Oryzias latipes: one gene and its partner. The protein of the gene in region 1 interacts with the protein of each later gene in a biochemical or structural test. Links are inferred from orthologs where the notes say so. Each region holds a gene or a part of one and is shown in the gene's direction. Other genes may lie near its edges.

What was found.
Region 2: the proteins of ccnd1 (region 1) and cdk6 form a complex in vitro, tested with the Homo sapiens proteins (3 studies listed by BioGRID and IntAct, with this or other methods). The link is inferred for Oryzias latipes from reciprocal best matches to the Homo sapiens genes CCND1 and CDK6.

The regions. Positions count from the first base shown.
Region 1 is NC_019861.2:4,924,447-4,931,376, reverse strand, and holds the end of ccnd1 (G1/S-specific cyclin-D1), read left to right. Parts: intron 1-269; coding exon 270-485; intron 486-1,029; coding exon 1,030-1,189; intron 1,190-1,916; coding exon 1,917-2,065; intron 2,066-2,173; coding exon 2,174-2,329; 3' UTR 2,330-4,849; downstream 4,850-6,930. UniProt on the Homo sapiens protein: Regulatory component of the cyclin D1-CDK4 (DC) complex that phosphorylates and inhibits members of the retinoblastoma (RB) protein family including RB1 and regulates the cell-cycle during G(1)/S transition.
Region 2 is NC_019869.2:9,946,157-9,950,719, reverse strand, and holds part of cdk6 (cyclin-dependent kinase 6), read left to right. Parts: intron 1-3,036; coding exon 3,037-3,204; intron 3,205-4,563. UniProt on the Homo sapiens protein: Serine/threonine-protein kinase involved in the control of the cell cycle and differentiation; promotes G1/S transition. Phosphorylates pRB/RB1 and NPM1.

The DNA.
Region 1 (6,930 bases):
TAAACTCATTCCCGCTGCAGCTTTCACCTGCTTTTCCAGCCTTTTCTTGAGAGTTGGTCTGTAGGTTTTAACAATTTTTTTCCACGTATTTTAAAAGCCGAAAAATGAAAGATGCTTTAGTTTTTCTAAATTAGTTGGAGAGGATCATAGTGTGCAGGATGGAAGACAGACTGCTTACAGAAAGTGAAATCATTGTTCCATTTGAACAGAAAGAAATGTCTCCATGCCAGTGTCGGCCTCTAAAACACTTTATTTTCTTTTTCTTTTAGGTCTGTGAGGAACAGAAATGCGAGGAGGAGGTTTTTCCGTTGGCAATGAACTATTTGGACAGATTTTTATCAGTGGAGCCCACCAGGAAAAGCAGACTCCAGCTGCTTGGAGCTACATGCATGTTTCTGGCATCTAAGATGAAGGAGACGGTACCATTGACTGCAGAGAAACTCTGTATCTACACAGACAACTCGGTCCAACCTGGAGAACTGCTGGTAATTAAGTTCTTGCAGACATGATGTTGCGTAACAATGGGAGAACATGACCAGAATGCCTGAAGGCCGCGTTGGCTGGAGGCAGGGCTCGGTCTGGGTTGCTGGTGCGCCGAGGCTGCAACATGTCAAGCATGCAGTCATGCTACTGATGTACGTTGTGGTTGAAATGTGCATGGAAGTCTGCTGCAGCGTTTGAATGACTGCCTGCACTTTCCCATGGAGACTGGAAGGCCTCTGATTTCATCAATGGTCTTTGGTGGCGTCTGCTAATTTGCAGTGACACCTAGTGGCCGTCAGACAGATGTGCAGACAGTAGAAAGATGTATGCTAGAAAAAAAGAAAATGTCTTGTTCTGTCATTCACTTTGTTTAGGTAGAACATTACAGCCTATTTATGCATAAGAAGGATTCAATATTGACTGCTGGGTCAGCCCTGTCAATTTAGAAACTATCATTGATGGCATTTGATGGAAAATTACATAAAGAAAAACAAATGTTTGTCAACCACAAAATGAAGCATTGCGTCTTCTCTGGTCCTTCCACAGCAAATGGAGCTGCTGGTTCTCAGCAAGCTGAAATGGGATCTGGCTTCTGTCACACCTCATGACTTCATCGAGCACTTCCTGTCCAAGCTGACAATCCACGCATCGACAAAGCAGATCCTCAGGAAACACGCCCAGACCTTTGTGGCTCTCTGCGCTACAGGTACTAGCTCTTTGTTACATGTCTATTGGTTTCTGGGTTGTTGCAGTTTATTAAAACACCAATCACATTTATAGATATTTAACTGGTTAAGATTGAATTAGCCCTAATAGTTGCAAACCACCATGCCGTCAAACAGCGGTGGGAAGTACCAGTGAGCTATTTAGGAAGTCATCTTTTGGTCAGCAAGCCCCAGTCAGTCAAACCTGACCTCACACAAACACATCAGTCGCATTTCATTCACAGTTTCCACGCTTTAACAACTGGGGTCTGGGCTTTTTCAAAAGTTTTTAAAGGCAATCAGGCATGGTCGTTTTCTGTTTATTATTAATGTAACTTATGAAACTTTGACCTCTATATATATGTCTGTCTCATAAGTAATACAATATTCCAAAAATATTTCAAATCAAACCATTACCCAAGTCCTGATAAATGGTAGAACGGATGGACGGCTTCCTTTCAGAGTCCTGACAATGTGGCTGCAAACCAAATTGATTTGAGTCAGCTTAGAAAATACATTGATCAAACTGGAGGAACTCCTCCTCCCTGTAGTGGTCAGCAGTTTTTGCGTCACGGTTAACTTGCTGTTCCGGTCAGGTCTTTGGTATTCGAACCCACAGCATAGGATGGTGATGCTGAAAGAACAGAAACAAACGTGCAAACATACGATGTGACGGAAAACGGCTTGCAGATACCCGAACCAAATGTGAACGTTCTTCTGCCTCTACAGATGTGAACTTTATAGCCAGTCCTCCATCAATGGTGGCAGCCGGCAGTGTGGTGGCAGCTGTTCAAGGACTCTACTTGAAAAGCCAAGATGCCTCCTTGTCCTCTCAGAACCTGACTAACTTCCTGTCTCAGGTCATCCGCAGTGACCCGGTATGGAAAACCCCTCGCACTGTCTAACCTCTAACCCTGAAGAGGGCTCGTGTCTTTGCTGTTGCGCAGTGGCAGCACGTTTTTTTCTGACCAGTTGTTTGTTTGCAGGACTGTTTGCGGTCGTGTCAGGAGCAGATTGAGTCTCTGCTGGAGTCCAGCCTGCGGCAGGCGCAGCAGCATGGCAGCGTGACGGAAGCCAAGCGTGTGGATGAAGAGGTGGACCTGTCCTGCACGCCAACAGACGTGCGGGACATCAACATTTGAGATGGTCACCAGCATGTCCTAATCCCAGTGTTGGGAGAACTCTGTTGTTAGAAGATGGGCAAGCAAAGAAGGGGGGGCCTGATTACTGCCTCCCCTCCTCTCTTCCTCGGTTGCCTGGTGCGCAGCTGCTTCAACGGATGTCACTCACTTGTCCACCACGACTGCCAAGGCAAGGTGGCGCACCCTTCTTGCCATGCAGCGCACCTCCCACCACATTCCTTGCCAGTGTCCCCTCCAATCCTGGACATAGACCAGAACACTAGACATGGACAAGTGAGAAACGCGCACCGGTGACCCGTGTGGGCAGGAGTCAGAGCCACACAAACTGATTCTTTTGGTTCTTATCCTCCATTTCAAACTAGGAATCTTTTAAATTGCTGTGGACTGATGATGACTACTTAAGGATCCCAAAGTGTGGTGTTCAGTAGGCCTTCACAGTCTGTCCACCTGAAACCCAACATTTATCAAAGCAAAGATGCTGTTTTGAACCAGTTTCTTTTGTTTAGAATGAGTTAGGCTTTTTCTAAGTCCCCGTGTTTGTCTTGTAGTTCAGGCATCCATTTACCCCATGCTTGTTTATGTTTAGTCACTTTATTATATTATTTAGCCTTATACCTCTTTTGTTCTAAGCTTTTGGGTAGTTTTTAAAACCCGTCTGTGAGTGAAGTTGTGTTTTTGTCTGCTGCTGGTGTGGACAAACGCTAGTCTTTCTTGATGATTCATTTGACCCGTTTCCGCTTGCAGCAATTGATCAAATCAAGTCAGTGCTAATGCGAGCAGAGCTGTCCAGACTCTGATGGTTTCTTCTTTTGTGTAGTTAGATCTAATACCATTCCAATGTATTGTTTTCAAGAAAGAAGCACTTTTGGTCAGCCGTGCTGGCTCAACTGAAAGAAAAATCGTGGTGGTAGAGTTTGCAATGGAACCCGAGGTTGGTGATGCAGTGGTCGAGCAGCTGGTTCAGATTCATCAGATGGGACAAAGAATTGACCAGTGTTGCAGATAGACTTGTTTTTATGTCTGGGAAAGGCCCGTCATAGCAGCCTTCCTGTCCTGCTAGTTTCACTTGTGCAGTGTTAGTTCAGGCAGAGCCGCCCTGAGCTTTTCACAGGTTCACTACAACTGCAAGCATGTAGAGCCAAAGGCTAAATCTGAGGAGGTAAAAGGATTATTTTTATAGCTAAAGTAATGCTTTATATTCCATATCGTAAAACCTATTTATTTTTACAACTTTCAATTGTGGCTCCGCCCACTTGTGCAGATGTTTGCCAATGAAATGCTGTAAAACCGTAAGCTTGAGTTGACCTGAACCACCAGGACGGCATCCCTCCATACTCCTCCTCACTTCAAATACTGCTCATGGATTATGAAAAATGGATCAAGTTGAAGAAAGGGGAGCGATGAGAATATGAGATGATTTTTGCACAAACCTTAAGGACGTGGGCGGGGCTTCTCTTGGACTTGCCTCAAAAACTGGTGGAGAGTATAGTGGGCAACAGTTTGAAGTGTCAAAAATGAAACAAAGAGGAGAAAGGCTCATCAGAAACTGCTTTAGAGTGGTTGGGGCTTCGTCCCATAAAGAGGAGGCATTTCTGCTCAGATGGACATTCACTTTATAAGGAATGAGGCGGAGTCTGAGTGTAGGATCCTTTTAAAGTAGGTTTCTGATTCTACAGTAAGGATAGAACGTAGGAGAGAAACACTCCTTGTATTTTGCTGCTATAGAAGATACATTTGAGCTTTGTGTTTAAAGACAAAAATAAAAATACAAAAAACAGATATGAAATGAAAACAATGCTTTTTTTTCTGTTGTTTGCTGCTATTTTTTATATGTATAAATGTACTGCCATTCTAGGTCTGAATTTTCTAATAGGAAGTTGTTGATGTCACCATTTGTTCTGTGTAGACTATGTGATCTTTTGGTTGTAATTATCTAATGTGATTTTTTTTTTTTTCCAAACTATTCCAAATACAAGGACGAATTGACAATGTACAGTAATGCTTTGATTCACAATACCTCATGTGACAGTCATGATCTCTGATTTTTAGTTGTGTGTGTGTGTGTGTGTGTGTGTGCGTGTTTCATTGTGCTCGCTGGTTCAGTGCTTGCCAGCTTTGACCTTTTGTAGGTGAAGCATCTGCGATGGAAACCAGCGTGTCCAGGCCGTGCGTTGTAACTGGTGCCATAACAGAAAATGGGATGTGTATAACTCTGTTGAGTGTTAAGCTGTCTCGATAAAAGAGACTTTATCCCCCCATTAGGCCCATAATGGCCTCTCTTCCTTCCCCCTTTTTATATTTATAAAGAGAAAAAAAAAAACCTGCTCCAATTTTTCAAACTTCCAGTGAGTCGATTTGAGTTTGTAAATACATTCAGTCTCATCCTCGGTAAGCCATAGATCATCCTTGTGCTGTGTTCACGGATCATTCCAAACCGATTGTTTTCATGTCAGCTGTCTGCACCCAGGATAATGTATTCATTTTTGTGTTGACGACACAATAAAAACATGAACTAGGAAAGCTGGCCACCATTTGTTGCCTGAAACCTTCACACACCCAAACCACTCATCTCCAAGCTCACATCTTTGACTGACACTTTCTGGATTAAATAGAATCAGTGCTTCACTTGAGTTTAAACAGTGCAAATGTAACCCTTGTGCTATCCTAGGCACTTTAAGATTGGGAGTTGGGTCATCTAGACCCACTAGACAGTGCTCTGAACCTTTTTTCTTCAATGATTTGTGATCTTCACTGGTGTCCATGGATTACATGAAATCTTTCCACCTTTATCCACCTTTGTCATGGTAGGGAGAACACGTCAATGGAAGGGGGGGGTCATCTAAGATAGCACAAGGGTTAAGCATGTTTTAGAATGAAAGGTTGTGATAAAACGGACCTCCATTAGACCGAATAGACCTAAGTTTGGAGGTTGATCATAGATGAAATGAACTATTTTCAGCCAACGTTTCTGCGCGTCAAGAGACGTAGACTGGTCAAAGAGAACAGAGGTTTCTGAGTTTTGGTTGGGAGGTGAAGCATGAAAAACCACAGTGTTTAATGAAAGGGATTTTCTGTTCAGGTGCAATAAGTAGAGTTTCAGGGTGTATTCAGACTGGGAAAAGCATTTGTTTGGGACCCAGTCTGCCTAATCTGGTCCGGATCGAATCCTGAACCTTGGATTTGGTCTGTATTCAGACTGCCATCAAGCGGCTTTCCTGATTCGAACCAAAAGTACAAAAAACCACTTGAATCAAAATCTCTTCACTCATTGTTTAGAAATTACGAGGGCGGGGCAAAGCAACAAGAGAAATTATGCAAGTCCTGCACTTTGCTGTCCTCAGGATAGCTCACCATTCAAACTTTGTATTTTGTTGACCAATTTTAAATGCCTGCATCAAAGTCAGGCTCAACACTATACTTGCTTTATAGGTCTGGTGGAAGCATGCTGCAGAGCGGTAACTGGTAAGAAAACATCCAAGAAGGTATAAGGTAAGTGCTTATGACATATAGATTGCCGGGAAACAGTGAGACCAATGTGGATCATGGTTAAAGTTGTTTCAATGTAATTTGCCACAGGTGTAAATAATGACAGAACGTAAAGACAGCGAGAACGGGAACGGCACGAACAGCGGAATCGCCAAAATAAAGCCCAGAAAGCCCGGAAGTGCAAAAACAAAAGCCTAACCAAACCGCCCTGGCCCCAGTACCTGACACTAATAGTTTAGTGGCTCATTTAAAATCTGTGTGCAGGTTTTTCACAATTTCATGATCTTTTTATATATTCATGAGAGATTTATTGGTTGATTGTGTATTTGCACAAGACCATATTTATTTATTTAATTATAAACAATTTGGGGCTCCATTCTCTTTAGCTGCTTTTTATGAAAAAAGGGGTTGTACAGACACTGTTTTTTTAATTACTTTACATGCTATTAAAATTACCTGAGATCTCTTCAGTGATGTCAGGAACATCTTGGGATGTGGACGCTGCACCACCTCCAATACTTTTTGCTACTTTTTGAGAGCAGAAGGAACTGTCGGCTGAGACGGAACTGTGCAAAACATCATCATTATGTAAAACCAAAACTGCAAAATACAAATGAGAAATAAATCTACCCATTTATAAATAATAAATGTGAACAATAATTTTAGTATAAGTGGAAATATAAGCATTTATACACATCTTTATTTATTATTTTGTATGCTCATGATTTTAAAATTAGTACATTTATTTTGTTTTTCATTTATAAATGAGAACATTTATTTCCTATTTGTATTTGGCAGTTTTTATTCTCCATATTTATGTTAATACAAGATTTTAAGACACACTCATTGTTTTAAAGTCAGACTACCTGACCTGCTGTAACAGATTGACAGCAGTTTTTAAACTGACATAATAAACCGGAAAATGCAGAACGCACTAAAGATGTGTGTTAGCAAAACAACTAAATAACCAATACGATTACGTGAGTTAAAACATTTATCAGCCATTATACCATTATTATTACTTACTTTTCTCCACCGTTTTGGAAGGTCATGTCCGACCTCATCTTTTTTGTTTTTTTTGTTTTTTAAACTTGTCCTGTCCAACAGCTGGGCAG
Region 2 (4,563 bases), on another chromosome or scaffold:
TTGAAATTGCTTGCACTTTCAATGTCACTTGTCATGTTTCCTTAAAGACCCACTTCCGTTAAAAATGTGTTTTGCGTGTTTTTAACATGTTTTTGTAACATTTTTCTCATGATGGAGGAGATAAAGAAAATTAATACTGAAATAATTTCTGAGTATTTCTATATTTAAATTGTGGTGAATCAGGAGCAAATGAAAAAACGCTGTTTGTAGTTCTTTACTAAAAACTACAAAAAGAGGTCTGCTCCGCTCCATTTCGATACATCTGCATGATCGAAGTGGGACTCTAAAAGCCTAAAACCGACATTGTGCATCCCTACTGATTTGAAGCAATATCCAATTCATCGTGGAACTATTTTTGGCAGCAACTCGTTACCATTAAAATTTTTTAGTGTTGGGGACGCTACAGTATCTGTCTAATGGTTATCCTGTTTCTTGCTTGATGAAAGTTTTAGATTCTATGAAACTGTGTTTAAAAATTATTGTCTAATCATTGGAACAAAATCTCGAGAAAAAAAGAAGGAAGAAGATAGTTAAATTGTCACGGTTTATCTATGTCAGATTTGAAGGGTTAATAGAATTCTTCCCAACTTTAGCCAAGTTTGAGACATGAGGCTTTCAGCACTGTTTAACAGTTGGATAAGCTCCTCTTTCAATCATGATGCCCCATTAGACCACCCCTCCTCCTTAGGCTTTCTCTTAACATCCGACCAGCTGGAGCCTCAAGGGGACAAAAGGACAAGCAGTGACAACACATCATAGGCACCTTTCCCTGTTATTTCTAGGACACACAGTGACCCAAGTGTGACCCCATTATCCCCGAGCAACTGTCTGTGCTCTCAGCTCCACCTTTATGACAGCAGGTCTAACTTAAACCATCGCTCATCTGAAAAAGGCATCAACATTGTCTTCATCCCAAACCCCATAAGAACCATAAAACGATTCACCCTCAGCTAAATTACCTTACCGCCCAAAGACCTGCTGTCCATACTAAAACCAACCAGTGACAGACACCCCACCGTGGCCCATCTGAACCCTTACCCATGATAAATACTTCAACCCTCCACCCTTCACCACCCACTCTGATTCAAGACCCACCACATGGTCATTGATGAAAGAAGCCCCCCTCCAGGGATCAAATGAGCTGGAAGGACATCAAGCAGCCTGCTTGCCCCAGTCTTAGTGCTACTCAGGCGGGCCAGTGCTTGGGTTCCTCCTCCACCACTATTCACCACTATCCTCCATACTTCCACAGCTCCACTCCGTGGGCCCACGAAGGGGGGAGGTTAATGAAGCATGGGGAGGGAATTACACTAACGCTAACCGGCAGATGTCCTATATTGTTCCATACTACAATAAACAATATGGCTGCCTCTGGTACATTAGCATCAAAAAAGGAGCTGAGCTCAGAAAGCCATGTTTTGACTGCCTCTTGTAGTCAGTCTGTTTTCTCCCATTTTTTCAGGGTTAGATATGTTGCCTTTTTGTTTGGTTTTTCTTTTCTCCACAAGTTGTTTAAAGCACCTTTGGAAAAAAAACCTTCCAACTTCAATTTGGAACTTTTGACTCGTGCAAATCATATAGGCAACCTTGTACTCACATACTGTAAATCTTGCCATTTCTATCTATTTATTAGACACTGCCTCAATTGCCTTTGTTGAGCTTAGTTCTGGAAAAATGCTGAAATGTTTATGACTTTTCGTGTTTGTAATTGATGCTATAGAAAAGGCTAAGAAGGCCAAGATTGTTTGTGTCCAAGAGTCACACGTGAGATAATTAGTGTTTACTAGGAAATGCTGTTGAAAGGAAACATGGTGAAATGACTATTTAAAGCTGAGAGGAACTGATGGGTGGAGGAATACTATTGTGTCAGCCCCCCCCATGCTACACACACACAAACACACACAAAAATGGCTAACTGCCTGCCTCTGTCCTATGGCCCTGTGTGTCTGCTGCCATTCTTCATAGGTCATGGCTGAATGGAGATGTAGAAAGGAAGGACTGTTTATGCATCCTGCCTATGGTCAGAGGGCACCCACATGCTTTTGCATGCTTTCACTCAGTGATGCACCCTTACGCAGGGGTACACATGTACGCAAATATACCCGTTTTACTTTATAACCAAATGTACAGAGCGTTTGTGCCACATCGCTCATCATCCCCACAAAACCGTGTGGGGAGTCTTTTCTATGGCTAGCACACAACCAGGCCCCACGCCATTTGCTAATGTTTTCTGCTTGAATTCACAGGCCTCATTGACTCGCACACCAGCTGGTTGGCCACTTAATAGAGCTGTGGACTCTGGTCCTCTTCACTTGTGGGGTCTTGATAGACTGTTTTGGAGCTGTTTGTTTAAGATATGTGTTTCCTTAAAAAAAAACATGTGTCTTTGTAATTTTAGTTACCATTGTTTTTCCTTGCTCTATGTTACCTACCCTACCTAATTCTTACATGCAAAAACATGAACTGGATGCATTAAGTTGCCTGGATGACAGTTGAGGTAACAAACTGCCTTACCACTATCCCTTGAACTATTTGTTTACAGGTGTAAGACCTGTTTGAGTTTCAAAAGAACAAGTCTAAGCTGGTTTGGAAATAGCTTTTTCCTGCTCACAATAGTTTGCTAGTTTGTCGTAGATGCAGTGCTACTTGAAGTCACTGCTGACGGGCCTGAAAAGCAAGCAAGAAACAGTTAACTATAGCAGGACAGCTGCTCGCCAACACAGATCTGTTCTCGCACAAAGCAGGGGCCTAACTCTGCCGCTGTCATTTGTGTGTGTATGTGTGTGTGTGTGTTATAGTCAGTTATCAAACATCTGCCACAGTCGACAAGAAAAGAGATAGGCTTCTTCTTGTTGACTCCCTCAATACTTCAATGTCTTGTTGCATTTGTATGTTGTTACTTTTTGTTTGGTAACTTTCTGTGCAGATGCATTAATTGAAGTTGTTAGTTTTACTGAATCATATTCATCAGGTCAAACACACCAAGTTAAAAAATTCAGTTTGTAATTTCTTTCTTAAAACCTGTTTTTTTTTTAGGATATGATGTACCAGCTGCTCCAGGGACTGGACTTCCTGCACTCGCACCGTGTGGTTCACCGTGACCTGAAGCCCCAAAACATCCTGGTCACTAGCGGAGGACAGATCAAACTGGCGGACTTTGGGCTAGCTCGCATCTACAGCTTCCAGATGGCTCTGACATCTGTGGTGAGTTAGTGCCTATCAAACCCTATTGGCACAGAGTTTAGCCTCTCTGTCTTTGATGGGGAACTATTCCCTGACCCTGATGCCATGTGGAGCTTTGGCCAACTAAGTGTCATGGCACCTGTCCACTAAGCATCTCCTGAAAACCTCCCAGCTTATTCTAGAGCTTTTTCTTTCATTTTCTCATATGTTCTAAAACTGTTTTCCCCATTTTTAACTAATGCACAAAACACATGGCTTGAACTTTTCTCCCTTCTCCTGAGAATTGGATAAAAAGCATCCAGTGTTTTGTCTGGGCACTTACGGGGCATCAGTTGGTATCTCAAGAGGAGTGCGCCAAATGATAGGATTTCTCTGTGTAAAGTGAGAGCCAAGTCCCCCCTTCATGTAGTGTCTCAGGAACCCCTCAGTGGCTGTCACAGAGCGGGATGGAGCAGACAAGAGGAGACAGATAGGCCTCCCCTCACACTGTCGGTACTTTGATGTTCAACTGTTGAGCTCTGGTATCTGATGACTTGATAATATACAGAGGGAGGCAGAAGGGAAACTTGGGAAGAGCTCAAATTAAGAAGCAACGAAACAATAAATGTGGGCAGCACTAGACACTTGGTGCTTTTTTTTTAATGTAAGCCTTTATGATAAGGTCTTTTGATCTTCTTTGCATTCATGCACACACATGCATTCATGCCTTGTAGCACATTAGCAATTTTCCCAGCCTGAACTTGTTCAATTCATTTGATAAAGTTGTAATGGAATGAAAAACGTGTCGAAGCAAAAATGTAAACAATTAAGAAAAATAGTTTTTTTTTAAAAAGCTTTGGTGTTCTAATCCTATTGAATACATACAGGCATGTAGTTATAACATTTCATAGCTTAATGTAAAGCTATCAAAGATAAGATATTCCTTTATTAGTCCCACGATGGGGAAATGTACTTGTTGCAGCAGCAGTACAGGTACAGAGAGCGATATATAAAGAAAAAAAGAAAAACTATGGAGTCAATATATACACAATATACACACATAAATTTCCAAAAAATTGCACAGGATTAACAAGGCTGCCAATAAACCAGCCGTGATAGCGTCATGGTTAGTAGCTCTGGTTTGATCCCACATGTAACAGAAAGATAGAGGAATAGATGAATTTGTAGTGGCTGGTTTGAGGCACACAAACACCATTTTCCAGTCTTTAGAAGAAGAAAAACGAATTTCATGTTGTTGTCTCACCAAATTTAAAAAATAACACAAATATTGTTACTACTGTACCTTATGTAGTTTGGCAGTAAAAGGGAATTGTTAGTCTTTGGAGTTTAATTATTCTATAAACTGATCAGGATGTCTGATATCAGCTAAACCTAAGGTTT